Linked DNA regions of Alligator mississippiensis. The protein of the gene in region 1 interacts with the protein of each later gene in a pairwise test. Links are inferred from orthologs where the notes say so. Each region holds a gene or a part of one and is shown on either strand. Other genes may lie near its edges. The genes, in order: HSD17B14, SNAPC3, NEK6 and CDKN2D.

Evidence for each region.
Region 2: the proteins of HSD17B14 (region 1) and SNAPC3 interact in binary tests that used the Homo sapiens proteins (3 or more experiments, as listed by UniProt). The two-hybrid records come from large-scale screens. The link is inferred for Alligator mississippiensis from reciprocal best matches to the Homo sapiens genes HSD17B14 and SNAPC3.
Region 3: the proteins of HSD17B14 (region 1) and NEK6 interact in binary tests that used the Homo sapiens proteins (3 or more experiments, as listed by UniProt). The two-hybrid records come from large-scale screens. The link is inferred for Alligator mississippiensis from reciprocal best matches to the Homo sapiens genes HSD17B14 and NEK6.
Region 4: the proteins of HSD17B14 (region 1) and CDKN2D interact in binary tests that used the Homo sapiens proteins (3 or more experiments, as listed by UniProt). The two-hybrid records come from large-scale screens. The link is inferred for Alligator mississippiensis from reciprocal best matches to the Homo sapiens genes HSD17B14 and CDKN2D.

Annotation. Positions count from the first base shown.
Region 1 is NC_081828.1:39,479,499-39,486,793, reverse strand, and holds the start of HSD17B14 (17-beta-hydroxysteroid dehydrogenase 14), read left to right. Parts: upstream 1-4,275; 5' UTR 4,276-4,314; coding exon 4,315-4,402; intron 4,403-5,491; coding exon 5,492-5,536; intron 5,537-5,756; coding exon of another isoform or gene 5,757-5,793; coding exon 5,794-5,894; intron 5,895-6,130; coding exon 6,131-6,197; intron 6,198-7,295. Other genes in the region: PLEKHA4 (pleckstrin homology domain-containing family A member 4), read left to right, coding at 78-688. UniProt on the Homo sapiens protein: Catalyzes the NAD(+)-dependent oxidation of L-fucose, yielding L-fucono-1,5-lactone, which rapidly converts spontaneously to L-fucone-1,4-lactone. Can also act on D-arabinose and L-galactose, with lower catalytic efficiency. Does not use NADPH.
Region 2 is NC_081826.1:181,600,688-181,608,491, reverse strand, and holds the start of SNAPC3 (snRNA-activating protein complex subunit 3), read left to right. Parts: upstream 1-4,789; 5' UTR 4,790-4,839; coding exon 4,840-5,045; intron 5,046-7,804.
Region 3 is NC_081835.1:65,889,503-65,896,443, forward strand, and holds the start of NEK6 (serine/threonine-protein kinase Nek6), read left to right. Parts: upstream 1-3,940; 5' UTR 3,941-4,031; intron 4,032-6,941. UniProt on the Homo sapiens protein: Protein kinase which plays an important role in mitotic cell cycle progression. Required for chromosome segregation at metaphase-anaphase transition, robust mitotic spindle formation and cytokinesis.
Region 4 is NC_081831.1:23,793,962-23,801,077, reverse strand, and holds CDKN2D (cyclin-dependent kinase 4 inhibitor D), read right to left. Parts: upstream 2,664-7,116; 5' UTR 2,496-2,663; intron 2,487-2,495; exon of another isoform or gene 2,382-2,486; 5' UTR 2,344-2,381; coding exon 2,200-2,343; intron 1,873-2,199; coding exon 1,513-1,872; 3' UTR 510-1,512; downstream 1-509. Other genes in the region: AP1M2 (AP-1 complex subunit mu-2), read right to left, coding at 4,198-4,220, 4,547-4,622, 5,095-5,220, 5,721-5,879, 6,054-6,125, 6,583-6,731. UniProt on the Homo sapiens protein: Interacts strongly with CDK4 and CDK6 and inhibits them.

The DNA.
Region 1 (7,295 bases):
GGTGTATCCTACCCCAGAAGTGGCCGCATGCCAGGCTCCAGACAGGAAGGGTGACCCTGCCTTGTTTCTCTCTGCAGGGAGGACCCCGTATGAGCCCCAGCTTGGGGGACGCAAGCCCCACTCAGAGCCCCACCAAGAACAACTGGATGCACTGACCAATCAGCATCTCATGCTTTCTGCCACACGCATCCATGGGGAATACCAGGCCAATCATGTTGTGGCTGAGAGAGACTGCTCCCCAAATCAGCCTGCAGTGTTTCCTATCAGCACAGGGCTACAGTCAGGAGCAGCCAGTCAGGGCTCACCTCTGTCTTGGAACTCTGATTGGGCATTGCCCATTCTTGAGGCGTCCAGTCGGATATCGGCTTTGTCTGAGATGCCCAATCAGGTGTCACCATCTTGGACAGAGGCAACCAATCAAGCTTCATCCATGCCTGATACATCGCTGCCTGAACCAACCAATCAGGTGTCAGTTTCACCTGAGGTATCCAATCAGGTGTCCTCTCCTGCACCATCCAATCCTGCCACCGCAAGGGGTTATGGGGAGCAAAGGATTGTAGGAAATGAGGGTTTGGTTAATGGTGGGTATCAGGGGCAGAGTGGGGGCACCAAACCCAGCCAGGTGAGAGTGCACCTGAGCGAAGCCAGCCAGCCAATCAGAATTACACTGCTTCAGTCTAGCTTCTAGCCCATTGGCTGTGGAGTGGGGCTAAGTCCTGCCCTCAGGGTGCCCCCAGAGGAGGATGCAGTGCTGAAGTCCTAGCTGGGACTATCCCAAGTCCACTGGGGATGTAAGGGGGAGAGGGAATACAGGCTGGGGGGGGGTTTGGGGGCCTCGATATCCCCAACCAAGGGGGCTGGGGGGGAGAAGCACTCCATGTGGGATCTTGTTGCCCTCTCCCCAGTTCTGCATTGAATAAGGGCACCCTTCTGTGGTCAGACAGGGAAACACAGCCCCCTCCCCCCTGGAGCTGAGGGTCACTCTATTTGCCATGAAGAGAGGGCTACTGGGGACCCCCAAGTATTCCCCTGCTTGACTGGTGCCCCTCAACACCTTCCCTTCAGCTCTTGCCAGGCAGCCCTGCCCTTCTGGCAGTGCCCCTCACTCTTCACCTGCAGCCCCCTTCCCCTCCCCCACCGCTCTGCTGGTGTCCCTCGCTCCCAACCCACAGCTCTCTGCCATCTCAGCCCTGCCTCAATCTCCTGCTGACTGTGCTAGCCAGAGAGCTGAGATCAGCATCTAGAAGGAAGAGGAAGTTCATGGGATCCATCATCCTCCCTAGTTCCCACCCTCTGCATTTCCAGACCTGGGGCTTGGAGCCAGACAGATTTGTCCAAACATGTCTGGGGCTGTGCAAACAACCCTCACACCCCAGTTGGAGACCTGTGGGTGTGATGAAAAGGTGCGGTGGAGCATGGGGCGCTGAGGAAGCTTTTCTAATACAGGCAGCTCTTGTGGCATCTCAATGCCAGAAGGGGTGCCCTGTATAACCAACCCCCAACATGCCCCACCCCAGAGCCAAATGCACCTCAACCCTGGGTGAAAGGATTCCTGGATAAACAGCTGCCCCCTCACCCTAGAGGTACTGGGAACCCAACCCAGCCTTAGCGGGCAAATGTATTCAATAAAGTTTGCGCTGTTCAGCTCTGTGTCCTGATCTTCTTTCCCAAAGCAAATCCCCATCCAAAAAGCCCTGTATCCCAGGGGTGCTCAATTCCTGGCCCATAGGCCAAATTTGCCTGTGGAGTTGTGTCATTTGGCTGCAGGGCTCCTTAATGGGTCTGGAAGTTTGGCCAGCAGGGAGCGGTGGCTACATTAAACACGGCTCCCCTGACTAGCCCTATGTACTAGATAGGGCACATATAGTTGATTTGGATGGTGCTGGGGCCAGTCTGGGCAGCACAGGGCTGATCAGGGCAGTGTAGGACCCCAATCTTGGCATGTGGTACCCAATCCAGCTCCATGCCAGTCACCCAGCCCATAGGGCCACAAGGTAGAGCATAGAATCAGAGAAATTGGGCTGGAAGGGACCTGCACAGCCAGCTTCTGCCAACTGCCTCCTCCTCCATGCTGTCCCCTGCTGGGGTTGGAGTAGGGGAGCGCTTCCTCTTACATTACTCCCCACAGAGCCCCACCTCAGGAGAGACCAGACCTGTGTATCATAGAATTGTAGAGAAGCAGGGCTGGAAGGGACCTCTGGAGGTCCTCTAGTCCAATCCCCGCCTGATCCAAGCCATCCTATGCAAATCCACAGTCTAACCTATTCATAAAACTACTTCTTTTTAATGGAAAATTTTTCATGTTCTAAGCCAAATCAATTCCAAATCCGTGAATCATTCAAGAACTATATATGGCCCTACTACCAGCAAACATCCTTTACCCCAACCTGGGGCTTCAGATGTTTCAAAATCATTTGGCAGGTGTCCTACATGCAGGCCCAAGCCCAGAGGCTTGGGGATTTGTATATCCCCAGGTTTGCTTGCCCTCAGCCATATGGCTGCAGGAGCAAACTGAGGAGGAGTCTCCCTACCATAAGCCAAGATCTTCCCACTGGAAATGTAAGTGGGAGGGTAACTATATTACCTCTACCCAGGTACTACCCCTCTCCATGGGAAAACCACCGTGGTGATCATGGTACTTCCTCTGTCAGAACTACTGTCAGCCATGACCAAAACAAGACATCACACCCAAACTTGCTGCAGGTAAAGAAGGACTGCAGCAGCCAACATCTTGCTGCTGTAAAGGGTTAATATATGCTCTCCTCAGGAAAAGGGACAGACCTCCTGCTACAGCAGAAGGCAACAACCCCCATAGTCCTCACCAATCTGACCATGGGGTAAAATTCCTTCCTGACCTCAAATACAGCAGTCGGTCTGACCCTGAGTGGAGGGACAAGACCCTCTAGCCAGAAGCCCCTGGCTTTAAGATCCAGCAGGAGCACTGGCACAGCCCAATCCCAATCCCCAGCCTTGGCTTCAGCGAACACACAGTGCCTCTGAGGAAGGCTTTTTAAAAACACCTAGACACCCATAGCAGAAAGGTGGGAGCAACCAGCAAAGCCCGGGAAACCCCCAGAGCAGAACACAGGCAGAGCTACACCTAGATCATTCCTGACCAGTGCCTGTCCAACCTCTCCTTGAGCCCCTCCAGTGATGGAGAGCATACAGCTCCTCTAGGCAGTCTAGTCCACAGCCTCACTGCTCTAGCAGTAAAGAGGTTTTTCCTGATATCCAATTGAAACCTAAGTCTCCTGCTCTCTGAGTCCAATTCCATGCCCCTATAAGAACCAGCCCAGCAATCAAGGGGTTCACCCCCCTCCCCATACCCCAGACCAATTGCATTCCTCCCACTCCCTTTGCTACAAGCAGGTCAGTGTAGCAACAAAATGCACCACCATGGGGTGAAAGCGCTAGTTTTGGTTCCAGCAGGAGTATTCATAGATTCATAGATGTTAGGGTCGGAAGGGACCTCAATAGATCATCGAGTCCAACCCCCTGCATAGGCAGGAAAGAGTGCTGGGTTTAGATGACCCCAGCTAGATGCCTATCTAACCTCCTCTTGAAGACCCCCAGGGTAGGGGAGAGCACCACCTCCCTTGGGAGCCCATTCCAGACTTTGGCCACTCTAACTGTGAAGTTCTTCCTAATGTCTAGTCTAAATCTGCTCTCTGCTAGCTTATGGCCATTATTTCTTGTAACCCCCAGGGGCGCCTTGGTGAGTAAAGCCTCACCAATTCCCTTCTGTGCCCCCATGATGAACTTGACACAACCCAATTGGCACAACCCAATCCCAATCCCCAAGCAGCCAACACCCAATGCCTTGAAGGGAGGCTTAAAAACACCTTGACACGTGCAGCAGAAAGGTGGGGAAGGGGGCAATCAGTAAAGCCCAGAAGCCTGGGAAACCCCATAGCAAAACACAGGCAACCAGCACCACTGCTGCCCCCCACTTCCTGGGAATTACATGTGTAAGGACCCCAGTGGTGCAGGGACAGATTAACCCTTTAGTGGACCCTAGGGAAACCAGCTGAAGATAAAATTTGTATATTCCTTTTTTTCACTCAATAATTATAATAGGTAAAATAAGCACAATTGGGTCTCTTCTTCACTTAGGGCCCTAGGCATGTACCTAGTTTGCCTATGTGTTAATCTGGCCCTGCAGTGGTGACCCTTGGTAGGGGATGCCCTATTCCAATCCCCCCACAATCAAGAGACTATATTTCCCAGGGTGCATCTGTCTCCCCTCTTCCTTTATAACTCCTGCCCAGGGGGAACACGTGATCCCGGATCAGCTGGGGCTGGGCTGGCCTGGCCATGGCTTCGGGGCTGCGCTACCCAGGCAAGGTTGCCCTTGTGACGGGAGGCACGAGGGGCATCGGGGAAGCCATCGTCAGGGAGTTTGGTAAGGGGGGACAGAGGTCTCTGTGTGCTGGGGCTGGGATGGGTAGAGCAGGAACTGGAGTGCAGTGGGTTTGGGGGTGAGTGGGACTGGGGGTTATTGGGTGTGGGGTGGCTGGGGGAGCTGGGATCAGGGTGCACTGGGTCTGAGGGGATGGGATGGGGCAGGGCAGGGACTGGGTACAGTGGGCTTGGGGATGAGTGGGACTGGGGGTATTAGGTGTGGGGGCTGAAGGGAGCTGAAGTCAGGGCTATTGCAGGGACTCTGTGGGAAAGCCGGGGAGGTGGGGGTCAAGGAGCAGGGAGTCCTTGGGGTGATGCGGAGGGGGGCTCTGGGCTGGGGCAGGGGCCTAGTGAGTTGTGGGGCTGGGATTGTGGGGGTCAAGGGGTGGCATGGGGGAGCAGGGAGGACGGGGCTGCCATGTCTGACCATGGAGGGGTTGGGGGCTGAGGCATGGGGTGGCAGATATAGTGGGGGATCTGCAAGGCTGGGATTGGGGCCTGGGTGGGGAGAGGACTTTGAGGCAGGGCCAAGGCTTGGACCCAGCTGGACTTTGTCTGTCCCGAGACTGTTCATCCAGCAGGTCACTGACTTGGAGGGGGGAAGAGGCCAGAGATATGAGTGTGGTGGGGGGGTAAAGCCTACAATGTACCCCACCTCTGTCCCCTGCCTTTGTTACCCAGCCCTGGGTTTGGCCTGCCCCTGTGCCCTCCACCACTAACAGCTCCTGTCAGGGGGGACCCTGATGCCCACCCCAGCTTTCTGTCATGGGGCTGAGCTGGTGGTGAAGAGGCTGTGTTAGCCCATCCCCCCCTCACCCCCCAGCACCAAATCTTGGCCCTTCCATTTCTATGAGACATGTATAGTGCAGGGAGCTGGTCAGTAGGGGGCAGCAGAGACCCATCCCTGCCTGGGGGGATGTGGAGGGTAGGCTAGGAGGAAGCTTGTAGCACTGAAGCAGGGGGGGGGGGGGGGATGTTGCCTCTGCCTGCACTGTAGGAGGAAGCGTGTAGCACCAGCCAATCTCACACTAACCTTGTCCTCTTACTTTGTCCCCTTGCAACTCCACAACTCCCCCCTCCACCCACACAGTCCATCAGGGAGCTCATGTGGTCTTCTGTGCCCCAAAAGCTGAAGGTGAACCTCCCCACCCCACCTCCTGTCCTTATCTCCCCTTCCCCGTGGGGCTCAGGTGGAGGGAGGCTTCCCCTTGCATCCCAGGGCTGGGGTGATTGGGACTGGGGACAGGGTCCTACACTTCTGGCCCCCAGATCTGTCCCTGCCTGGTATTTATGGATGCCCCCTTCCCCTTGGGATCTCCCATTCCCCCCAGTATCTAATGCTACCTCCTCCCCAGCTGTTTCTCCCCACCCCTCTTCCCTTTTCACTTGCAGAGGAGGTGGGGGAGGCACTGGAGCAGGCACTAAAGGAGTCGGGTGGCCCCGGGAAGCCGTTCTTCTGGCCCTGTGATGTCACCAGTGAACAGGATATCCAGGTGGGTTGGGCTTGGGGAGGAGTGGGGGAGAGGTCTTTAAAGAGAAAGCAATAGGGGTCTCAAGCCCCCCTGCTCATCATACAGCACCTCAAGATGGTAGGCACTTGAGGCTGGGTCTGATAAGGCCTGTCCCTCCCAATCTGCCCTGAACCCCAAAAATCCCTACTGTCCTCCCCTGATTCCCTATACCCCTGGCTCTCTCCCTCTGACCCCTGCTCCTTGCTCCCCTCTTCCAGGCCCTGGTATCCACAACCCTGCAGCGCTTTGGGCACCTGGACTGTCTTGTGAACAATGCCGGGCAGCGTGAGTCACCCTGATAGTGCCAGGGGATCTTTGGAGGGACCCTGACGGGGTAGGGGGGCGGATGCTGTATTAGGGAGCTCCTCCTGCTGGGAGGGGTGTTGCACATTAGCAGGATCCCCAGGGGCCAGGGGGGTATAGCAGAGTAGACGTGCTGCTCCTCCCAGGTAGTTGGCTTTAAACTTTTGGTGGAACAGGAATCAAAAGGGGGTGCAAGTCCACCAGGGCACCCCTTGGATCTGCCTCAAAGGAGTTATTGTAGGCTGGTAAAGACCAGAGCATTTAGTTGTGACTGTAGGAGTGGAGAGGAGGCTGTGGCAGCAGGGTCCCTGGGACACGTGGGTTCAAGAGGGCAGGGGCTGGGGCTGTGGCCAGGACTCAGGCAGTCATGGGCAGATCTAGGACTTTGAAAAGGGATTGCAGATGGTATGGCACATCACATGAAACACAACACATCTTTTTTCCAGTTAGAGCAAAACTAGCAGCTTTACTAATATGCTAGGGGGCTAGCACTTTATTATTCAGTCTGAGATCAAGCACAAATATCACTATTGGAATACACACAGATTTGCTAAATTCTATCTAAAGTTTAAAAAAAAAAAAAAAGCACAACACATTGGCAAAAAATAGTCAAAATAGTCCAAAGACATTGTGTCATGAATCCTGTAATCACTAGAGCTGAATGTATGTCTTATTCAGATTGATAAAACAAAATCTAGCCTTCTTGAGTGTCTTGACGGTGCCTCCAATACCTGGCTGTGAGTCATGTCTTTACCTGAGTTATTATGACCACACCTGAGTTAAGGGGTTTAGTTAAAGCTAAAAAAGAGTCTATAGGAATGTGAAAGAGAAGAAAGATGTCACTGGGAATAGCAAACATGAGCAAACCTGCAGGAAAAAGGCTAGTTTGAATGGTGGAACATCAGGACCATTAAAAAGGATGGAAGGTTCTTAACATTTGTAGAGTGTGGAGATTAGCAGGAATCATGGAGATGACAATGAACCATGAAGTCAGTTGATTCCCTCAGTGCTGCCTGAATAGAAATGCTGCTGCACCTCCCAGATGGGTGGTTTTGAAGTTTGGGTGGAGCAGGAATCAAA
Region 2 (7,804 bases), on another chromosome or scaffold:
TCCTTGAGTAGAAGTGTTTTTACATGTTCAACTCTGTAAGAGTAAAGGTGGGAAATTAAACACAAAAACACACAACCCACTCATGGTTTAACACTCTGTGTTTTGATATTTTGCAACTGTTGCTTCATCAGCTGGAACCCCAACCTGCCTGAAGGTGAGGATTATAAAGTAATTTATTTTCCACTGTATTCTTTGCAACTACGAAACTCAATGAGAAAACATTTTGGAGATCAGGAGAACTCTTAATATATCCTTGGCTGCAATAACCCTCATGAGACCATTCCAGCAGCCAAGAATAATTGGAGCACAAGCTCCAACAACAAACCTCTTTTCTGTCCACACTCCCCAGGAACACAGTTTTTTTGTGATAGCTCTAATGCTATCTGGGGAACAATGAGGATCTCCCTGCTGGAATTTTCCTTTGGCCAGTCCACAAAGTTTCATACAACTCATAGGCTAGGGACAAAAGTTACATATAAACTGGTCACACATAAAGTGCTCTAAGTCATCAGAAACTGGTTTAAACCTGTAACAGAACAGAAGTTCAGTGCACATGAACCAGTTTCAAAATGGCTGAAACTGGTTTAAGATAAACCTCGTTGAATGTAGTAGTATCAGACTTAACTGATTTGGGCCAAACCAGTTTATGAAACTTCTGTCCCAGACCCCTTCCTGGCTCAAGTTAAATCAGAGTCCCACAACATCCCAGCATGCTTTCCAGCATGAATGCCACATGCCCCTGGAGGCTGAGGGGACACGACAACTGCCCGCAGGTGGCGCTGGCAGTATTGGCGACGGGGGTGTGGTGGTGGCGATCGGAGAGCTCCCGCAGGCAGCCATAGCAGTGTTGGCAGTCTGAGTGGGGAGCTCCTGCAGGTGGCCATGGCAGTGTCAGCAGCAGGGGGGGAGAGGGGCAAACGCCGACCACCCATAGGTGCTGCCAGCACCATTGGCTCATTGGCAGGAAACGAGCTGGTGCTGAGCATGGGGGAAAAGCAGCCCCTTCCCCACCCCATGGCCAGTGCCCCATGCTGCAGCCACTGGCAGCCCGCATGGGGCTGTCCTGAGCAGACACAGACAGCCTCACGTGGGCTGCGAGTGGCTGCAGCATGGGACGCTGGTGGGACCGTTTTTCCCTGCACTCAGCACCAGCTTGTAACCTGCTGTCGCTGCCAGCCTTGGCCCCACACTGACTCTGTGCTCGCCCATTGAGGCTGTGCCACAGCAGCAGCAGCCTGCTTGGCGTGGAGGAAAGCGACCCCCCTGTTTGCCATGCTGGGCACTGTTTGCTGCCCACCTGGAGCTCGTGCTGCACCCTCAACAGCTTTCCAAAACTGGGTAAGCGGCCCTCCACCCGAAATAATTGCCTGCCCCTGCTCTATAGCTCCTTGGCTTCTGGCCCCACTGCAGACATGTGGCTGCATTTCCTGAATCAAAGGTAAAATGTGTGTCCAGTTGTTTCTCAGTTTAATCTTTGCAGCTTAGGCTAACCTGCAAAGACTGGACTGATTCAGCCTTAGGCTTTTTGACTGTCTGTACTTAGCCTTTGTGTTGGATCTTTTAGAAATGAACTTCAAAACCAAACTCTTTTTGCTCCACATGGACATTAATGATCCCAAAGGAACTTTTTGCAAGATTTGGGATATAGCCCCTGCACCATTGGCCAAAATTCTTCTTTCCTGCTTTTTATGCCAAATGTTGTTTGTTTACTATACTAGAGTTTTTTATGCCAGAGGCAGCTAAATTTCAAAAGTGAAGTGTTTCCAGTATCTTTATAATGATTTATGCAATGGCACTATTACACAATAGAAAATGAGAGATCACAACAGAAAAAGGACTTACCTCAAAGTGAGGTTGTGACAAACAAAGGGTTGGGTCTGGATTTTGAAACTGGAATGCATGCTTCTTGGAACAGCTGGAAGGTTTTAACAGCAGGTGAGAGAGACAACCTGTAATCAGGAACCTCTTCCAAACCTGAACTACTCCATAAAGCACAAATGCAAGGATGGGCAATGGGAACAATGGGAGTGGCTGAAAAAAAACACATAATGAGCCATAATCACAGCCAGGAGTACAAGGGAAAGGAAGAATAGACACAGGCAGGAATGGAATACTTCAGTAGTGAGGATGAACAGCTTTTAATTTGAGAATAGGAGAATAGAAGACTGCGAAGGAATACAGCCCTAAAATACATTTTATGAGATGCTTTATTCTTTTCCTACCCATTAGCCACTTCATCCTGCCAAAGCTGCAGGAAACCTTTCACTAGGTAATCTTATTCACACCCCACTCCTTTCACATAGCAGCCAGACCTGGACCTTTCTAAAGGCCTGTCATTCCTACTTTTGTCATGGAAGTGCTAATAGTGGTGCTGTAAACCATTCTAGTGGGGCCCTGGAGGAAACCTACTCCAAGGCAGGTTATTCTCTAGTTGTCCTTCCTCTGTAAGATTTGTGTCACTAGGATTGTAGGGTAAGAAGAATAGGAATTAGATTGTTAGTGGATAGATTAATTGCTCAGTAACTTGTTAGTGCATCCTATGACCTCATCAATTCCTTTTTGTTTACACAATGTCATACTTTGTAATACTAGGCAGATCAAAAATAGTGAAATTGGTTGCTTTTTTCAGCTATGCAAAAGTATTATTCTACGAATAAAAATACAAAAAATTCTGAATAAATTGGGTTTTTTCATGAACCTTTCTTAGAAGTATTTTCATGACGGTTAAACTTTTGCAATTGTCAGAAAATTTTTGTCTGAGAATGATCTCCTCTGAAGTCACCTGTGAATCAGCACAATACAGTCCGAAGGGCCCAAACCTGCGATTTGAGCTTTACCACAGGACCTGTACCCTCGCGCAGCCAGCTGGGGTTCTGCAGGGACAGAGGGTCTGCCCATGTAGCTTAGAGAGCAGTATAAGGATTTTACACAGTACTGCACAGGCTCCTACAGGTCCAAAAAGCTGGCAGCAGATACCCATGGGGAACCCTGCAGACCAGATAATGAAATTATGCCCCTGCATCCTGGCTGCTCGGGATCACGCCTGCAGCTAAACCCCGCACAAGATCTGACCCACTGACCCACCCAGCCACTCACCTGGCCCACAGGGTGGGTCTGTGAAGAGGGTTCAGCAGAGGCCTGCGCTGGGGCTGCAGGAGCCTGGATCTACACCAAACAAGCCTCCCAATAGGGCCACAAAAGGAAGGCACCAGTTGTGGAAGGTACTTCCCCAAGGCCTAGAAGCTCCTGTGTGCTCCGGCCGGATGACAGACCCGCTGCAAAAACCCCTGGAGCAACATGGTGCTGCCCATCCAGCAGAGGCTGGTCCCGCTCCACTGTCCCACCCAGCATCAGCTCCGGGGACAAGCACCCTGCTCACCTCCTGTATTGTTAGAGACTTTTCCTGCCTGCCTTCCCCCAATTGCCAGGGGGCCCTGTTAATCCACCTCTGCTGTGGGTCACCATCCTAAATGGAGTCACAACATCAGTGGATGGGATCATGGGGGTGGGTGCTGTGGGTTGGGAGTGAGGGGCCATGCTGAGGAAATGGGGCCCTAAATAGGATCATGCTGAGAAACAGCTTGGGAAGCTCTGCCCTAGCCAAAAGGCTGCAGGAATGAACTAGAGGGAAAGAAAGCCTGCGAGCAGTCCTCTGGCACCATGAACTGCATGGCCGCAATCCTGGCACCTGGAGGCATTTAGAGACACTGGGCGCGTCTACATGAGACGCTTACTGTGGTGAGCATGTTTGTTATTACCCTGAAATAGAATAGTTTTCTGATAGCATATTGTTAGGTTAACAATAATTTGGATTATTAAGAAGTATTAGCTTTGCAGCTGAATACAAGGCATGATCTGTGGCCTAGCAATGCAGCTGACCACAAGGCAGAATGATAGCTAAGCCTTTGCTTGTGTCAAGTAATCATTTTAACTGTATTAAGCATTTTCTGAGTTAAAAAGTGGATCTGTGTCTGTGTGTTGAAAAATCAGCTACAGCAAGAAATAAGATAAGACAGGGAAGCCATTGTTCTGGGTGCAGTGGTTGTGTCCTTGAGAAGTATCTACTACTGTGTAAGGTTTTGCTAACATATTATAATGTTACTGTTACTTAACTTTTAGCTTTTAAAAGTGCTAGTTCAGCTTAATAGAAATATGCTGTTATAAAGATTTATAAAGCACTGCCCAAGTATTGCTTTTTGTTAACCATATAGTCTTGCCTTGTTGTAATAAGTATAAAAGATCGCCTCACCCTTGAGGGGGGGCCATTTTGCCTTTTGCTGGCTTTATGGTCTTTGCTCGAGCAAATAAACAGCTGTCTTTCTTTACCCGCGTTGTCTGTCAATCAAATTACAGCTAGACAACGGACCTTAGGGAGGTTTCTCCCACCACATACTGCACATTAACCTAATCACACCGCACAGTGCCGTAGCACGGCACAAACCAAGCTGATAGCCTCCTGCACCATGTGATGAGGCCAACACGTAGTGTCACTAAATAACGTGTGCTCATGTGCAGTAACTCTAAGCACCCTGCATTTAGTTAGTGCACGTACTTTATTAAGCACCTACTCAACCAAAGACGCAGTCAGGCTGTAAGGCGCATAAACGAATGTGTAGGGGTCAGCCCGCCGCAGGGCCGAGGCCGGCCCTTCCCCACAGAACCGCACGCCGGTGAGCTCAGGGCGGGAGCACAGGCGGAGACGTCACCAGGCCCCACCAGCCTCCCCTGCTCCTGCTCTTGGGCAGAGCCCAGTTAGGGATAAACGGAGCGCGGGGGGCCGGCAGCGCCGCCTCGGGGCGGGCTCAGGGACGCGGGTCCCAGTGCGCCCCGCGCGGCGCCATGGCAGGGCCCGGGCCGGAGTACGAGACGCCGGAGTTGTGCACGCGCGTGTTCCCTGTGGGCGCCGTGGGGGCGCTGTGGCGGGAGCGGCTGCCCGCGGCGGACCTGTCCCTGGCACAGCGGAACGTGGTGGAGGCAGAGGCGGCGGTGGCCGCCGAGCTGGGCTGCCCGCTGGACACGGCGGCCGAGCTTCGCGCAGTGTGCAGGTACCCGGGCGGGGGCCGCCAGCAGCCGGGACTGCGCTGGGGTGGGGAGGAGGGGCGCGTGCACGAGTGTATGAATAGCGGCATATGTGTGGGTGCGTGCTTGAGTGTGCGCATGCGCGCATACGTACGTATGCATGCATCTGCGTGCGTGTGCGCATGTGCGTATGTCTATGTGCATGCACATGTGCATGTGTGTGCGCACCTGTGTGTTCACATGTACATACGTGTGTGCTCTGTGCACGTGCATCTGTGCATGTGAAGTGATATGTGAAACTGCCATATTTACTCAAATCCAACATGAGGTTCACCCCCATCCATCAAGCTTTGGCGGGGAGAGAGTTTTCTTGGATTTGAGCACCAGGCTGGGGCAGGCAGCTGCTGTGGCTCTAGCTCCAGCCCTGGACTTCTTGCCCCAGGCCAAGGCCAGGCCACTGCCCCTGCCACCTGCCTGGGACTGAGGCTGGAGCTGTCACTGCTTCCTGACCACTGTCTGCCTGAGGCTGGAGCTGTTGCTACTGCTGCTGCCTAGCGGGGGTCAGGGCTGGAGCTCCTGCCACTGCCTGACTGGGTCAGGGGTAGAGCTACTGTACACTCCGTGTCCCAGGTCAGACCCAGAACCAGGGCCCCTCTATAGGGTAAGTAGTAGCAGCAGAGGCAAGTGGGAGAGGGGGCAGGTGGCAGGGAACAGGTACTGGAAGGGAAGGCAGGGGTCAAGCTGTTTGTCTTCCCCACTGCTTACCCCACTGCTGCTGTGTTTCATGCTGCAGCAGTGGGAGGGGGGTGAAAAATTAGATTCTGTACATGGAAATTTATAATAAATTTACAACTTTCCTTGTGTGGAATCTAATTGTTGTGGGGGGTTGCTCCTAAATTTAAATTTGTCTTGGATTTGTATGAATTCAGTATGTCCTGTATGGGGACGTCCCCATGAGCGATCCCTACTTGGGATCCTGGGGGCCTCCCAGGACTCTAGTGGCAGTGATCCAAGTGTGTGGAGTCTGGCTGGCAGCATGGCTCTGGCCAGACAGGCTCCGGTTTTGGGTGGCGCATGTTACTGCCACATGTGCCGCCCCGCTTTTTTCTGGCATGGATTTTTTTTTTGACACAGGGATCTCCTGGCGTCGAAAAAATTAGCTGTGTTGCAAATTAGCAGTGTGCCAAATGTCTACATGTGCGGTGTGTGCAGTTTGCAGTGCCACGGATGGGTCTGAAGCACCACAAACCACATGTGTGCTTATCTGGACATGCTCTGTGTGTGTGTTGGGGGTGGGTGGAAGAAAGTAGAGCAATCATTTAAAAACCTGGTTATGTTTTAGGCTTCTATGTCTATCAAATCTGTAAGATGTAGCAAATTTTTCTGTATTCAGTTTGCACTCACCTTGTTTGAATGTGAGGACCACCTCTTTCATTTACCAAGCATATTGATCAGGTAGTATTCAAAATAGTTTTGTAGACTCAGAGCCATCCCTAGCATACGGTGAATTGGGGCGACTGCCCTAGGCCCCATGGAGCCAGGCAGAGTGGCTGCAGCCCCTCCTGTGGGTCCTGCCTGGAGCTGGCAGCTCAGTCCCGTGCTGCGCCCTCCCCCACTCACTGCTGTACCACTCATGTTCCCCCTCTCCCCTGCACCACTGCACCGCATGGTTTCATGGCCCCAGACTCGCTGTCCACTCTCCATGCTGTGTGCTTGTTTGCCTTGCCCCCTGGGGCAGGGACAACAGTTGGAGGAGGAAGGGGGAGCCCAGAAACTCTGGCTGCTATTGCAGGGTGATTGGGGGAGTGGTGGCAGAGCAGGAGCCCAGGGGCTGCAACTAAATCACTTGCAGGGCTGCCAGTTGGTTTGTAAATGTCTGCAAGATTTTGTTAAATAAGTGTCAAGGGTCTTGATATAGTAGTGTAGCATATGCATGCATCAAAGGTGATGAAATACTGCAACTAAACCTTTGAGGGTGGAGGAGATGATGACAGTGGGCAGTGTACTATTTTTAATTATAAGGAATAAATCCAGATAAAAATACTAAAACATAACTTCAAAACTTAAAAAGCAACGTGGGCCACCATAGTTATGGAAGGCCATTGAAGGACAAAGTGGCTAGATGCCTTTCTGCTTCTCTTTTTCCCAGAACCACAGGTCCGAATCTGTTGAAGTTTGAGTCAACTTTTTATCTCTGTTTGTACAACTTGGTGCCGTACTACCTTTCCAGGGGAGACTAATTAAATACCACGTACCTCACGGCACGTATCTTTCAAGCAAGACCTTTTCACTGTTTTGTTCTTCATTGATGTTGCAAGGCTCATAGCGTTCTTCATAAAACAGTTTGGCTTGTTTCCTTGGCCAGAATTTTCTCTTCCCTCACCATCAGTACGTTTTGAATTTGGCCCTCGTCCTCCCATTTTTGAGGTTCTGGCATGACTGCTTTGCAAGAAGGTGTGTTTTACTCAGTATCAGTATAGAACACCCATGTTTTTCATGAATGGCGTAATCCTGAGTTAATTCAGCCATTCATGCTAAATAAGTGTATGTAGTTCCATACACTGCATCATGCATTGTATACACGGCACAAGATAAACAAAAGAAGCTGTTTTAAAGAATGATTGATTCTTTTATAATTTTATAAACAAAAACAGAATCATACAAAAGTAGTGTTGGAAGGGACCTCAGGAGGTCATCTAGTTCAACCTCCTGCTCAGAGCAGAACCAGCCCCAACTAGATCATCCCAGCCAAAGCTTTGTCTAGCCAGGTTTTGAAACCCCCCAA
Region 3 (6,941 bases), on another chromosome or scaffold:
TCTGCCTGCAAACCCTCGTCTTCAACCCGCCTTTCCACTACGAGCTAATGCGACCAGCACAACAAGCAGCTGGAGGTGAAACGGCCCCTTTCCTGCCTCCAGCGGTTGTACCCATGCCTTGCAGGTTGAATCTCCTGCAGCTTCTGCTGAGGGGAAGGCGCCTTTCCCCTTTCACCCGCTGCTCGATGAAAGAATGAGGAAATTCCATGAGCAGGAGCTCACAGTTTCCAGCCCTGCTGGGCAGAGGACAACGGGGCCCTTAGTATTATTAATTTTCCCTCCTAGGTTTTTTTCTGAGCAAAAGAAAATGGTTGAATACGAGCTTTTTCTTTACGTCGCTTCATCCTTTAAAGTCCTTTAGAGTTAACAAAGTGGAGGCAAAAAACACAAAACCTTCTGTGTCTGTATGAAAAATCCTTCTGTTCTTTACCCCAAACACTTTCCCAAACCTAGCATCTTTTCTGAAAAAGAAAACTTCTTTTAAGCAACAAAACCTTTTCTCCATCATACTTTCCCATCTCCCCTTTCCTGGATGGCAATCGCATACTCCAGATCCCATGCTGTGAAGGATATTCTGCCACTGGTCACATCTGGTTCCCTGATGAGATCCACAGGCAGCTGGGCTGGAGTTGTTTTCTGGGGCACGTGACCTGTCTAGGTTGCATTATCTTCCCGAACACCAATTCTTTCTGAATCCCCTTTTTGATTCCAATTTTTTTCTTTCTTTGCATCACTTTTATCAGTTTTGCGACTAAACTGTTGCACGAATGTTCATGAGAACAACTCGCAGATCTTAATATGGTAAAAATAATAGAGGTGTTTCTCTAGGCAAGCTGGTGGAGATTTTCTGTACTGAGTTTTCGACTAGTTGCATACTGGTATGCATTCCTTTAGCATTAATTCTTCCTTTGGGATTCGAACCTTACAGAAATATGAGAACGGAGCATGCATGTAGCAGACATAGTATGGAAGTAGCTTGCATGTACTGTATGTATGTGGAGAAGACGTGCTGCAGCTTTATAACTGGAGAGGAAAATTCACAGCCTTTCTTCTTTGGCTACTGCTGACAAAAGTCTCTTTCAGCTCATTCTGTTTTTTATTTGGTAGGGGGGATTTTTTTTTATTGAAAACAACTTCTTGCAGGAAGTAGATACAGTGCACAATGACCAGAAAACTAACCAACGAGGCAGGATGCATGTATTGATATACTTGGTGAAATCCTGCCTTATTTAAACCTGTAGAGCCAAGATGTTATCAATCATGGACTATCTGATATGACTGTGATCATACTGACCCTATAAAGACTGTAAATTAAGACCCAGATCATAAAATCATTGCTCTAAAAAATTAAACCAGTTAAGTGAAGCCAACAGCAGTCTGATGGCTCTTAATGGCAATAACTTCATTAGAAGGGATGCTGAAATATAAATAAACATATATAAATACACATCTATCTATCTATCTATCTATCTATCTATCTATCTATCTATCTATCTATCTATCTATCTATCTATCTATCTATCTATCTATCTATCTAATTTGATTTGGAGTTATGCAGTCTAATCCTACAATCCTTGGACAGTTGCAAGTGGCTCCGTGTTTGTTAATGCAATGTTTTTAGCACGGCCATGCGGAGCCAGGGGTGCAAGATGAATTCATGATTTTACAAGAAGCTTCCAGGAGAAATTGTCCTTTGAATTTTTCCTCTCTGATTTTTCCAGGAAGGAATTTCCCGTGGAATAATAATGCACCATGTCAGGCTAAATTCATCTCCATCACGATGTAATTCAGGAAATTTAATTTTTTTCTTTCCTTATTGAATTCTGCTAACTCGAAGTACGGGTAGAGCTGTATGGTCTGTGTAATCGAGCAGTGAAAAGCCCGGGTCTGGTAGCTGTGCGCAGGAGCCCAGCACACGTTTAAAGACATCTCGCCTAGGAGGTATTGACGGAGGATGGCAGAACAAACCTCTCGTGCTCCTCTTGGCGCTGTACGCTCACGACATCCTCGTGCCTCAACTCTAGAGAGCGTTATCTTTCAGAGAAAGGAGGTGGGGAAGTCTACAGCTCCCGGGATGCCTGAGATGTAGAGGGAAAAAAATGACTTAATGTTGTTTATCGAAGCCCTACCCGGTGTTGCAGATTTGGTACTGATGGATTGACGATACGATCTGCTTCAAAACCAGGTGGCCTCTTCGTTTCCATCTGTTATGTCTACTGCTCTGTCTCTAGCGAGAAGCATGGCATAGCTGCGCAGGCATCTGCACCCATGAGAGAAAATGCCTCGCATTATCACAGTAATGCAAGGAGGTACAGCTTATACTCGCGCAGCGTCTCGAGTGCTAATACACAGGAGAGACTCGCGTGCCGGACAGACGATGTCTGCACGTACCCACGCCGCCTGCACCGCTGACCTCACACGACAAAATCGAACAACAAAGCCCAAAGCCAGCCAGGGCAGGGCGTTTCAGGAGTTTCTCGTGGATGAAACTGCGTTCAATTCACGTGGAGCTCAGACTCATTCCAGACGTCTCCTTGGTTTGGCAACAAAAAAAAAAAGCGTGCCTGAAACGAGGAGGTTTGTAGGATGAACTCAGTCATTTAATCCAGCGCTTGCCGCAGTTTCTCAGGTTCCTGCGAAACAAACTTATTTCGAAGCTGAAACCACGCGAGCTTGAGCCTGCTGGAAAAACAGGGCGCTGCGACCCGAAACGTCTCAGGTGATCGGGGGTTCCACGCAGCTCTCGTGGACACGCCGCGCCGGCGGAGAGGGGACGCGTATCTGAACAGCGCGGGACGCCGAGCGGCCTTCGCCGAAGGGGCCGTGCGTCCGGGCACCGTCCACCTCTCTGTGTGACACCGATCGCTGCTGCGCGCTACTTCACCCTTCCCACGCGGCTATCGCGCCGTTCCCCACGTTGCTGCGTCATCCGGACCTCGCACAGGCGGCTGCCTGCATTTATGGCGCGATTCCCCCGTTCACAACCTGGCGGCTACTTCGCGGGGGCGGCCCGTCAACATTTATTGCACATCCCCCCCCATGTTGCTGAGTGATCCGGACCTCGCACAGGCGGCTGCCTGCGTTTATGGCGCGATTCCCCCATTCACTGCCCGGCGGCTAGTTCGCAGGGGCGGCCCGTCAACATTTATTGCACATCCCCCTCATTTCTGTGCGATCCAGACTTTGCACAGGCGGCTGCCTGCATTTATGGCGCGATTCCCCCATTCACAGCCTGGCAGCTACTTTGCAGGGGCAACCCATCAACATTTATTGCGTGCCTCCCCATTTCTGTATGATCCTGACGTTGCACAAGCAGCCTGCCTGCATTTATAGCGCGATTCCCCCATTCACAGCCTGGCGGTTACTCCGCAAGGGCAACCCGTCAACATTTATTGCGTGGCCCCCCCATTTCCACGTGATAAACACTGTGCGGGGGTGGCCGGTCTCCATTTATTGCGCATCCCTCCTTCTGCACGAGCACCACTTTGCACAGGCGGCGGGTGTACATTTATTGGGCGATCCCCCGGGTCATTATACGATCACCACTTTGCATGGGGCCGGGTCTACATTTATCGCGCCATTGTTGCGTGACCCGGCCTTGGCACAGGCCGCTCGTCGACGTTTATGGCGCGATTCCCCCGCTCACGGCCGGGCGGCTCCTTCGCAGGGGCGGCCCGCCAACATTTATTGCGCCTCCGCGAGCCCAGAGCATTTATGGCGCCCCGTGTGGTAACCCCCCTCCCCGCCATGCAGGTGACGGCCGCATGCCTCCCCCGAGCCGCGCCAAGCCGCGCCAAGCCGCGGGCGGTGGGCGGGGCGAGTGCGCGGAGCCCCGCCCCCGGCCCCGCCCCCCGGCGCGGCGCGGCGCGGCGCGGTGCAGCGCGCGCGCTCCCGGCGCAGGCCTGCGTGGCGGCTGCGGCGGCGCGCCGGCGGGGGCGGGGCTGGCGCTCGCGCTCGCGCCGCCGGGGGCCGGGCCGGGCCGGGCGCGGGGGCGCGCGCAGGCGGCGGGAGGCGGCGCGGGCGCTCGGCAGGTAACGGGGGCGCGCGGGAGGGGGGGGTTGGCACCGACCTGCCCCGGGGGGCACGGCGGGGGGGGAGCCCCCCACCCCACCCCACCCCACCCCACTCCGCTGGCGGTCGTGGGGAAGGAGCCGCGTGCCGTCCCCGCCGCGTCGCGTCGCGTCGCGCCGTCCTTCCTGTCACGAGCGCGGCCGGGCTGCGCCGAGGGGGCTCGGGGGACCCCCGCTGCTGAAAATTACCTCAGGTTCCTCCGTGGTTCTGGGGCCGTGGGGACGGGGGCGGCTTGGACGTGGACACGCGACGTGGACGCGCGGCTCTCCACTCTTTCTGCGGCGTGCCGGAGTCCGGGGCGCTTCCGGAAAGCTCGACGGTAGCAACCGAACGGAGCGATCCCGCCGTCGCGGCGGGGCAGCGCAACGTACCGCCGGTCGTGTTTGCGCGCTGAACGGCGCCGATGCCGCGTGGCCGCCCGTGGCACCCTCGCAAGGACGGGGCTGGGCCCGGCGACCCGCCACGCTGCGGCACCCTGGGGTGCTGCCGCAGGCGTCACGGGCGTAGGTACGTGGCCGACTGGGACCGGAGCGGTGCGGACGTGCAAAAGAAACGCTTGCACACTCACCTTGCGCCTGGACCCGAGGGTCTCGCGAGGTTCCCTCCAGCCCGAAATCTGTGACGCGACACCGGAGGCTAAAATTGCCCGTGAAAGGTTGAGACCTACCGAAAAGTGAAAACGAAACCCTTGACGGGGTCTTTTCATTTAGCCTTTCTGTTGGCAGGTAGTGCCGGCGGATGATAATACTTTATCCAGTAGGTTTCATCAGGAGATCTTCATGTAGTTTTTGAAGCAGCATTGCCTTAATTTGCAGATTAAAAAACCCTGGAGGAAGGACCCATCTCGGACCAGGCCGTGCAGGGAACGGAAGTCAATGTTTGATCTTCTCGTTCATACGAGTTCTAGGATAAGTTTTCGGAGGCCCCTTCGCGGTCACGTTGCAGTCCCTTGTTATAAAAATGAGAATTGGATTTTAATTTCTCAAACTTTATACATGTGTCTCGTAGCTGTTGTCTTGAGAAGCCGCTAGCTTTCAAGAAATGCTCAACCTGTGAAAGCAGCACGGTGCCGCTCGGACACAGATACCGCGTGCCGCTCGGACACAGATACCGCGTGCCGCTCGGGCAAACGTTGGCAGAGTTTTGGAAAGTTTTTGTGAGTTAGCTCTTGGGGGCTCGTGTGACATCAAGATAATGCACAGAGGAGTAAGCACAAGGGTATGGTTAGGTTGGACATCAGCAAGGACTAACTAACGTGCCAGGCAGTAATCGGTGAAATGGTTGAGCAGAGGAAGTTGTGGGGTTCAGACCTGGGCTGGACAAAATGATACAGGATCCTTTTTTGGGGGCAGTCGCCTGTTGGCTTGAGGCATGGGTTGGCGGTGATCGAACAGGTGCGGCCCATTATTAACTTGTAGGATGCAGGTTGGATTGACCTCTCTCTCAGGGAGAAAGAAGCGTAAAAGGAAACCGATTAGAGGATGGAGGAGCTGCGATGCGTGACGTGGAGAGTTGCTGGTGGTCAGGAAGGTCCAGGTCCGCGCTGTTCTCTTGCACGCGTCTTGTCCGAGGCGGGATTGCAATCGAGGTCCGCACCTTGCAACCGGTGATCTATATTACAAAGGGAGTAAACCCCTGAAACTCCCAGTTTACAAGCATCTTAAATAAATCTTAACTTTTTAAAGCATAAGTAGCCAGGCAGAAAGCTGCTGTCTTACTTCTGCTCATAACGCGGGGCACAGGCAGTAGAGTTCCTGTTTGAATGCAGGATAAACCAGGCAGCTTGAAACGTTTGTAAGCTTTATTAAAACAAAACAAATCAAAACAAATAACCACCCTGAGGTTTTTTTAAGTGGTTCAAATATAGCGGTTTGTATAGATACCAGTTTTTTTTATGTGGTTGATCTGCTTTTTTTTTCTGTCTTGGCTTAAATTTTACATATGAATTGTTTTGGATTGGATTGAGATTACTTTACTTTAAAGTCTAACCTGTGCTGAGTAGTTAAACATCTGGCCCTACTGTAAGTGCCGCAGTTTCACATGCCTGAGAAATCTCTGGGGTTAAGTTGTGGTTTTCGAATACCATTTTGAAGGTGTCAGAAATAAACTATTTTACATTTTTTTCAAGGTAAAGATCAACCATTTAATTTCTAGGAACAGGCAACATTTAAGAACGTCCTAATTGTATAGAGGGGGCTATGATATCACATTGCAAAACTATGTTAGAAATTGTATTTTGTGAAATAGGGCAGATGGTTTTCAAAAAACTTTTTTTTTTTTTTAAGCATAATGTTTACTTTAGTTTGGTGCTACTTTAAGTGTCTGGTAGCTTCATAGATTCCAGCTAGTGAGCAGCTGTCTGTCACAGATGGGAGAGGAACAAAATCCCCTTTGCTGCTTGCTTCCAAATAGGTTTTCATGCAAAACCAACAGTAATGTAACAAAAGCATCTCAGTTGGTTTCAATTTTTTTATGCATGTAGGTGAGGCAGGCAGGCGGGCAACACACCATGTTTGTTCAAAGGAAACTAGTGCTAACCAAAAGAAAAGAACCCACCCCATTTCTCTGGAGAGCTGCTATTATTTTCATGAACCTTAATGTCTCTACAAATTCTGTTTTTTAAAGAGCAGCCTGTAATACTTCACGTAAATTTGTCGAATTGCATCTGAGCGAGATTTAGAAATCAAGAAGAATCAATTGGTATTGATTTTTGACACGTTGCTCAGAGTGGCTCAGAAGAAGTCGTCGTCCTCACCCAGAATGCACCTCATGTTCCTGCCACGGTGGTGTGGACTGCATGTGTTTGTTTTCCCCTCCATCATTTTGCAGTGCTTCTTCAAGTATTTCTTCCTATTTAGCTGTATTTTGTC
Region 4 (7,116 bases), on another chromosome or scaffold:
GCTGGCCTAGTGGGTAGAGGTGAGCCCGGACTCCTAGGTTCAGTGCCCAGCGTGACGTCCGACGGGGGGGAGTATGTCGGTGCCCGGAGTGGGTGGGGCACCTAGCTGGGAGAGGGGCCGGAAGCTGCAAGCAGCTGAGCAGAGGTTGAGGCTACTGCCCTGTGTCCCAGGGCATATCACTTAGCCCCTGCTGTGCCTCAGTTTCCCCAGCTGCACCACACAGTGATGGGGAGGTGACGGAGGCTGGGCAGAGGCTCTTTGGGGGCATCCTAGGCAAGGGGCTTATAAATGTGGCTTAATAGGGGCAGAACTCCAGGGGGAACCCTGGACTCCTGGGTTCTGTGTCCAGCTCTGCTGCCCTCATGCCAGCTGGTGGGGGGCATCTCCTGCCCAGAGTTGCTGGGTGTGGGGTTAGGGTGATTAAAGGGAACACAAAGACCCCCACCCAGTGGAATGGGGTGGAGAGAAGGGGGCACAGGGACCCTTGGCCAAGAGCAGAGCAGTCACCATTGGCAAATATTAATTTAATGGTTAAAATCGTTAAATTATCCCGGCGCCCAATAAATAGAAGCGGCTTTGAGCTCATTAAAAGCACCAATCCATCCAACACACCCCACTTCCCCCAAATAGAAAGCACCCCCCTCCCCCCCAGCTGAGGCATGCAGCCAGGTAACAGACCATGGCACAGATGGTGGGGGGTGGGCACAGACAGGCTATGGTAGGAGAATTAGGGCCCCAATATCAGGGCCCGAGCTCTGTGATGCTCCCCCCACCCTCCGAGCTCCAGCCCATAGCAGGGCTCCCTGGGGTGGAGAGTCTGGGAGGCTACATGGCATCTGGGCCACCCCCAGTGGGCCTGGAGGTACCTGCAGCTGGTGGGGGAGCTATGAACTGCCCAGCTCCCAGACTGGCGCGGCGGGGGGGGGGGGGGGGCAGGTGTTCTTCCCCAGCACCAAGCACCTGACCCTGAGACCGAAGCCTCCCCATCAGACTGATCCCTTCACCCCCTTCCCCATTCAATCCAAACCAGCCCAGACCAATACAATACTCTATGGGGGTGGATGTAGCTGATGGAGGAGGTTGGGGGGCTCTACAACATAGACAGACCCCCTCCTCCACCTGTTGAGGGAAAAGCAGATTGGGGGTAGCAGGGGCTATCAGATTTTTCTGGGTAGAAACCAGATTGAAACCTGAGTTTGGGGCCAAGGCAACCAGGCCAGACCCCCCACCCTGCTATGGGGGGGCAGGCGGAACCCCCATTGGAGAGCTCCAGTGGGAGAGGGGGAAACACCCCAAAAAATATAAATAGAAACAACAGTAAAAGTTAAACTCTGAGGTAGGCAGTGGGGAAAGGGTCAGAGGGGACAAGAGAGGAAATGGGGAGGACCTTCACAGGGGGACAGGACAGGGAACAGGGGCAAGAGAGGGAATGGGGGGGCAGCTGGCAAGAGCCAGCTCCATGCCAGCACCCCCTCCCAGGCCAGGGACCCAGCACCCCACCCCCACCAAGGCTCAGGCAGGGCCCGGGCAGTGCTGCTCCAGGATGGCAACAATGCCAGGCCGGCCGAGGTGCTGGGCGAGGTTGAGGGGGGTGCGGCCGTGGGCATCACGGCGGCCCAGGTCGGAGACGGGTGCCAGGACAGCCACAGCAGGTGCGTGGCCCTCAGCCACAGCCACATGCAGTGGCAGGGCCCCGGTGCCATCTGGTGCGTTGGCATCGGCGCCATGCTCCAGCAGCACCCGCAGTGTGTCCGCGAAGCCCCCCCGTGCTGCGTCGTGGGCCGGTGCCCGCCCCCCTGCGTCCTGCACGTTGGCACTGGCCCCCTGCTTCAGCAGCTCCTGTGCCACCGCCATGCTGCCCATCATCATCACCTAGAAAGCGAGCTGGGTGAAGGAGAAGGACCTGGGCCCTTGCCCCCCACAACACCAGTCCTACCTGCCTCCCCCCACCCCCGCCACTGCTGGGTGCCCATCAGCACCACCACCCAGGGGAAGCATGGGTAACAAGTGGGCACTGAGGCTCCTCCCTCCACCCCCCAGATCCTACCCTCATCCCCTTCACCCCCCAGGAACCAGCCTCCTATCCTCAACCCACCCCCACATAGGGCAGCAGGGACCCCACGGGGACAAGGCCGAGGACCCCCGATATCCCTCCCAGGGGCTGGGCCCTCTCCGGGGTGCGCCCACCCTAGTCCCCACCTGCAGCGCTGTCCTGCCGAAGCGGTTGAGCGCGTCGGGATGCACCAGCTCGTCCCGCAGCAGCCGCCGCACCTCGGCCAGATCCCCGCGGGCCGCCGCGCTGCTCAGCCGGTCCCCACCGCTCAGCTCGTCCCCCAACAGCATCGCAGAGCCGAGCCGGGCCGGGCCGGGCTAGGTAGGACCTGAGGCGGGCACGGACACCGCGTTGACAGGTCAGCGGGTCCCCGCTGCACCGGCCAGGGACCCCTGGCCCAGATAGATCTCCGCTTCCCTTCCCCTCCTCTCCCCGCGGGCACCTGTAGTCCGCTGGCGGCTGCGGCCCCGGGCGGGGGGCACCGGGCTCGGCTGCGCCGTGGGGGTCCCGATCCGGGCCCGATCCAGGGCGGGGCGGGGCGGGGCAGGGGCTGGGCGGACTCCGCCCACGTGGCGGCGCCGGGGTGTGTCTGTCCAGCCCCCGAGCGGCTACATTGTAGCTATATTGCCGCGTTCTAACCACGCCCCCGCCCCCTCGCCCCGCCCAGTCGGAGCCGCTCCGCCCAATCAGCGCGCGGCTCCGGGCAGGCTGGTGGCGCCCGCGGGCTGCTGATTGGCTGGCGCTGGGCGGGCGGCAGGGGGCGGACCGCGCCGATTCAAACGCTGCTTCAGGCGGGAAGGGGCAGGCGGCCCCCGAGGCCACGACCCCCGCGACCTGCCGTGACCCCAGCGGGGGAAGAGAAGCTACGGGGGATGCCGGGTCCCCGCGCGGGACCCGCCACACGGACCGCGAGCTCCTACGGGGGTCGTTCCCTACGGAACCCCGTAGCCCCTCCCCACGGGGGTCCCGGAGCTGAACCCCCACACACACACACCCCCACCCGGGACTCGCCCCACGGCCTCTCTGGGATGGATCCCCCCAAGCAGCCCCTAGGTCTGGGGTCCCCTTGCTCCATGTAGTGCCCCCCCCCCACTCCGACACAGGTTCTCTGCCCCCTGGCAGACCCTCCACCCCGCTGACACCCTCAACCCCCTCCCATAGGGGTACACCCCAGCCCCCTGGGGCGGGACTCCTCCCCACTTCACTGACTCCCAGGGCTGAGACCCTACCCCACCCACACTTTATGGGTTACGATTCCTCCCCTATTCCAATGAACTCCATAAACTGTGACAGTGGGACACCCTGCCAGTTCAGAGGCTCCAATAGCTGCCCCCCCCCACCCATTCACACAGGGAGGAGTGACAAAGGCCATGATTCTCCCCCTTCCCCCCCCCCCCCCAAAGGGAGGCAGATGCTAGCTTCTGGCCCCTAGGGACAGACTGCAACAGGCTGGAGGAGAATGCCCCTGCCAATAGTGACCCCCCCCCCAAACCAGAAGACCCCAACCTCACAACCTCCCTCCATGGAGACTCACCCCCACAGCTTTGCTCTAGCTGCAGGCACACACTTTGCTCCAGTTTAGGTGGCTGCCTCACATTCCCTCTAGAAGCAATGGTGCCTGGCTACATGGGGCATGGGCAAAAGGAGCACCCGCCCACAGGTGCAGGAACAGGCATGCACTGCCCTCTCCCCCTACCTAGATGAGCCCCAGCCCTGGCTCCACCCCCCACAGTAGCCTTGAGGAGGGGGGCATGGGGGGAACTAAGATGGAGACCCCCAAGCTGCAGCTGCCAAGCCAAGGCCCCAGAGGTAGAGTGGGGAGGCAGCTCTTCACTGCTGGGGGACACCCCCACTCCATCCCAGGCCTGGTAGCCACTGGGGCCATTCAACCCCCCACCCCTGGAGCAGGACTTAGCCTGAGATGCAAGACTTTGGGGGGGGACAAACCCAGCCCCCCTATTGCCCCCAATCCACCCAAAAGACCCACAGAACACAGGGAAACAGTCACATTCTGTTTATAAACCAGCAGATAAGGCAGGGCAACATATGGGGGGGGTTCTCCCCTGGGGGTAGCTGGGCAGAGAGGGGAGTGCTAGACTCAGGCCTTGGAGGCAGCAGGGTCCTCCACCACTGGGTGGTGGCGTTCAGCTGGTCCGGAGCTGGTAGTCTGGGAGGTGGGAGTAGAGTAGGGGAGTAAGAGGGACTGCAGGCAGCTGTGGGGACACACACACACACACACACACACACACACACACACACACACACACACCCCCCCCCCCAGGGTTGCAGCCCTCCCACCCTGAGAGACCTCTCCCATAGAGAACATCACATACACAGGTGCCCCCCACACCTTAGGTGTGCCCCATACATAGATACATGCCCCCCACTAAGGCTGGGGGGGATGTGCTGAAAGTCCCCACATGCCCCTCACACATGCCAGGAACCCCCTACTACAGTTGGGGGGGGTAGAGGCCTAGGGACCCCATGACTCACCCCCACTCTGGGTGATGTAGCGCACCCAGGGCAGAGCCTGGTACCCACTCTTCTCAATGATCTTCATGTAACGAACCTGGGGGGGAGGTTAGTATTGGGGGGACTGCCCCAGGCTGGGGGGGAGGAGGTGGAAGGGCACTAATCCAGTCCTGCAGCTGCTGGGGATACAGGCTGCTCTCCCCCTCCCCCCCCCCCAAATGTTTGAGAGCAGGGAAGTTGAGGCACATGCCAGAGCACCAGTCTGACCACAACTCTGCAGAGAAGGGATATTCTCCAGCCTGACAATGCCCCCCACCCAAAATGCCCCCACACTCCCAACACCCCCCCCAATGACCCCAGACCCCCACCCCAGTCTTCTCCCTCCCAGGATCTCTGCATCAGGGAGACTGCAGGCTGGCTGAGGAGGGAGGGAGGGATGTCCACGGACCCTATCCCCCTAGTCACCACAGGGAAAGTGCCATAGGTTATGGTCCAGGGACACCCTCCCATTCCTGGGTCAGGGTGTGGACCATGGCCTTCCTGGGACCCCAGCCCCACCCCTGGCCCACCTGGATGCCTGAGACGGTGAAATAGGGGATCTCGAAGCGCACAGCGATGGGCGGGCGGCCCTCATCCTCCTCCCGCTCCACACTGGGCAGCCCAAAGTGCGCGCGCAGCAGGTACTCCTTCCCACCCTGCCGGCACAGGGCGGGGAGAGGTCACAGGGTCCACCCTTGCCAAGTGTCAGAGGGAACCCAGGCATCCAAGTGCCTGCTCTCATACATACCTGGGTTCTCCTCCCATCTGGGAGAGGAGGTCCCAGTCCCCTCACTCTGCCAGCCCCCTCTCCCCTCCCACAGCAAAAAGAACCCAGGCATCCAGGACCCCAATCCCTGTGCACTTACCCCACCTCCCACACACCCCACCCCATTCCTTTAGCTGGGAGAGAACCCAGGCATCCAAGCTCCCAGCTCCCATTCCCCTCCCCCAGCAGGGAGAGAACCCAGGAGTTCTGACTTGGAGACCCACCCGCAGCCCCCTACTCCCCACCTGGAGTAGGGAGAACCTAGGTGTGCATGCTCCTAGTCCCTCTCCCCCACACTGAGCAGGGAGTGAACCCAGGCATCCAGCCCCCCAGCTGCCTCCCCTCTCTTTCCAGAGGAGGGAGGGAACCCAGGAAGCTGGCCTGCCTCACCGGAAAGGACTTGATGCTCCAGAGCACAACGTTCCTCTCGGGCACATACTTGGCGCTACCCATGCTGGCCTTAAACTTGGGCGAGTCGACATCACTGGGCACGGGCACTGTGATCTCCACCCCGTTGGCCACTGACTGCTTCTTGAACTGACCCTTGGCCTGCCCAGGGTCAGAAAGCAAAGGTCAAGGGGCACATTCCCTGCCCAACCAGGTCGAGGGACTCTTCCTGCCCCCTTCCAACCAGACTCAGCCCCAGGCCACCTGCTGGGGTCATTGCCTCAAGGAATTAATACAAGAGGTTCCTAATACAAGGCAAGGCGTCCCTTGACTCACCTTGACCATGATCTCCACACGACTGTGGGAGAACTTCTCGATGACTGACTCAATCCAGATCAGGGGCTTCACCTGCCGGGAGGGAAGAAGGGGAAATGTGGGAGTCACAACAGCCCCCCTCTCCCCCCCCCCCCCATCCACTCCCGACACACACAGGAGCTGGGAGAGAAGGTCACACAGGAAGGGACAGGGAATCCAGGCACCCAGGCTCCAACCTTCTACTGCTCTAACCCTCCAGCCTCTATTCCCCTCCCAGACATGGAGAGAACCCAGGCATCCAGGTTCCCAATACCTTCTGACAAAGGTACTTCCCTCTCACAGCTGACAAAACCCAGGTGTCCGGGCTCCCAACCCCACACAACCTTCCAGACTCCAGCCATCCAGGCTCCTAACCCCTTGGCTCCAACTCTCCACCCAGGGTGGGGAAGAGAACCCAGGTGTCCAGGCTTCCAACCCCTACCCCGCTTCAACCCCTCCTGCACCAGCACTGGGGAGAGAACCCCAGTGTCCACTCCCTGCCCCCCACAACCTGGGTGTTGAGGCGATAGGACATGAGTTCAAAGTCGCCATCAGGGGGCACGAAGGAGATGGTGCGGTCGGCGTCAAAGCGCGAGAGCCGCACGCACTGGTGGAACTTCACATCTTCCAGCTCTACCGATTTGTTCTTGCCACCTGGACCTGGGTGGGGGGAGTGTAGCTATGAGCTGGGGGGGCATCTGGGGGAACTGTGGCGGGGGGGAGGGGAGGGGAGGTTGCAGTCGGCCCTAACACCTGCACAGGGCAAGAAGCAGAGCAGCGGATGGGGCAAGGAGTGGGAAGAAAAGCAATAGATCAGGCAGGGGTCACAGGGCAGGGAATGGAAAATCAGAACAGCTGATGGGGCAGGGAGTGCAGGGCATGGAGCAGAAAGCAAAGCAGTAGATGGAGTAGGAAGCAGAAAGTAGAGCAGCCAATGGGACAAGGGGTATAGGGCAGGGAGCAGAGCAATGGATTGGGCCAGGGCAGGGTGTCCCCTCTACCCCTCCCCCCAGCTCTGTTCATCCCCCACAGGACCCTCTCCTGT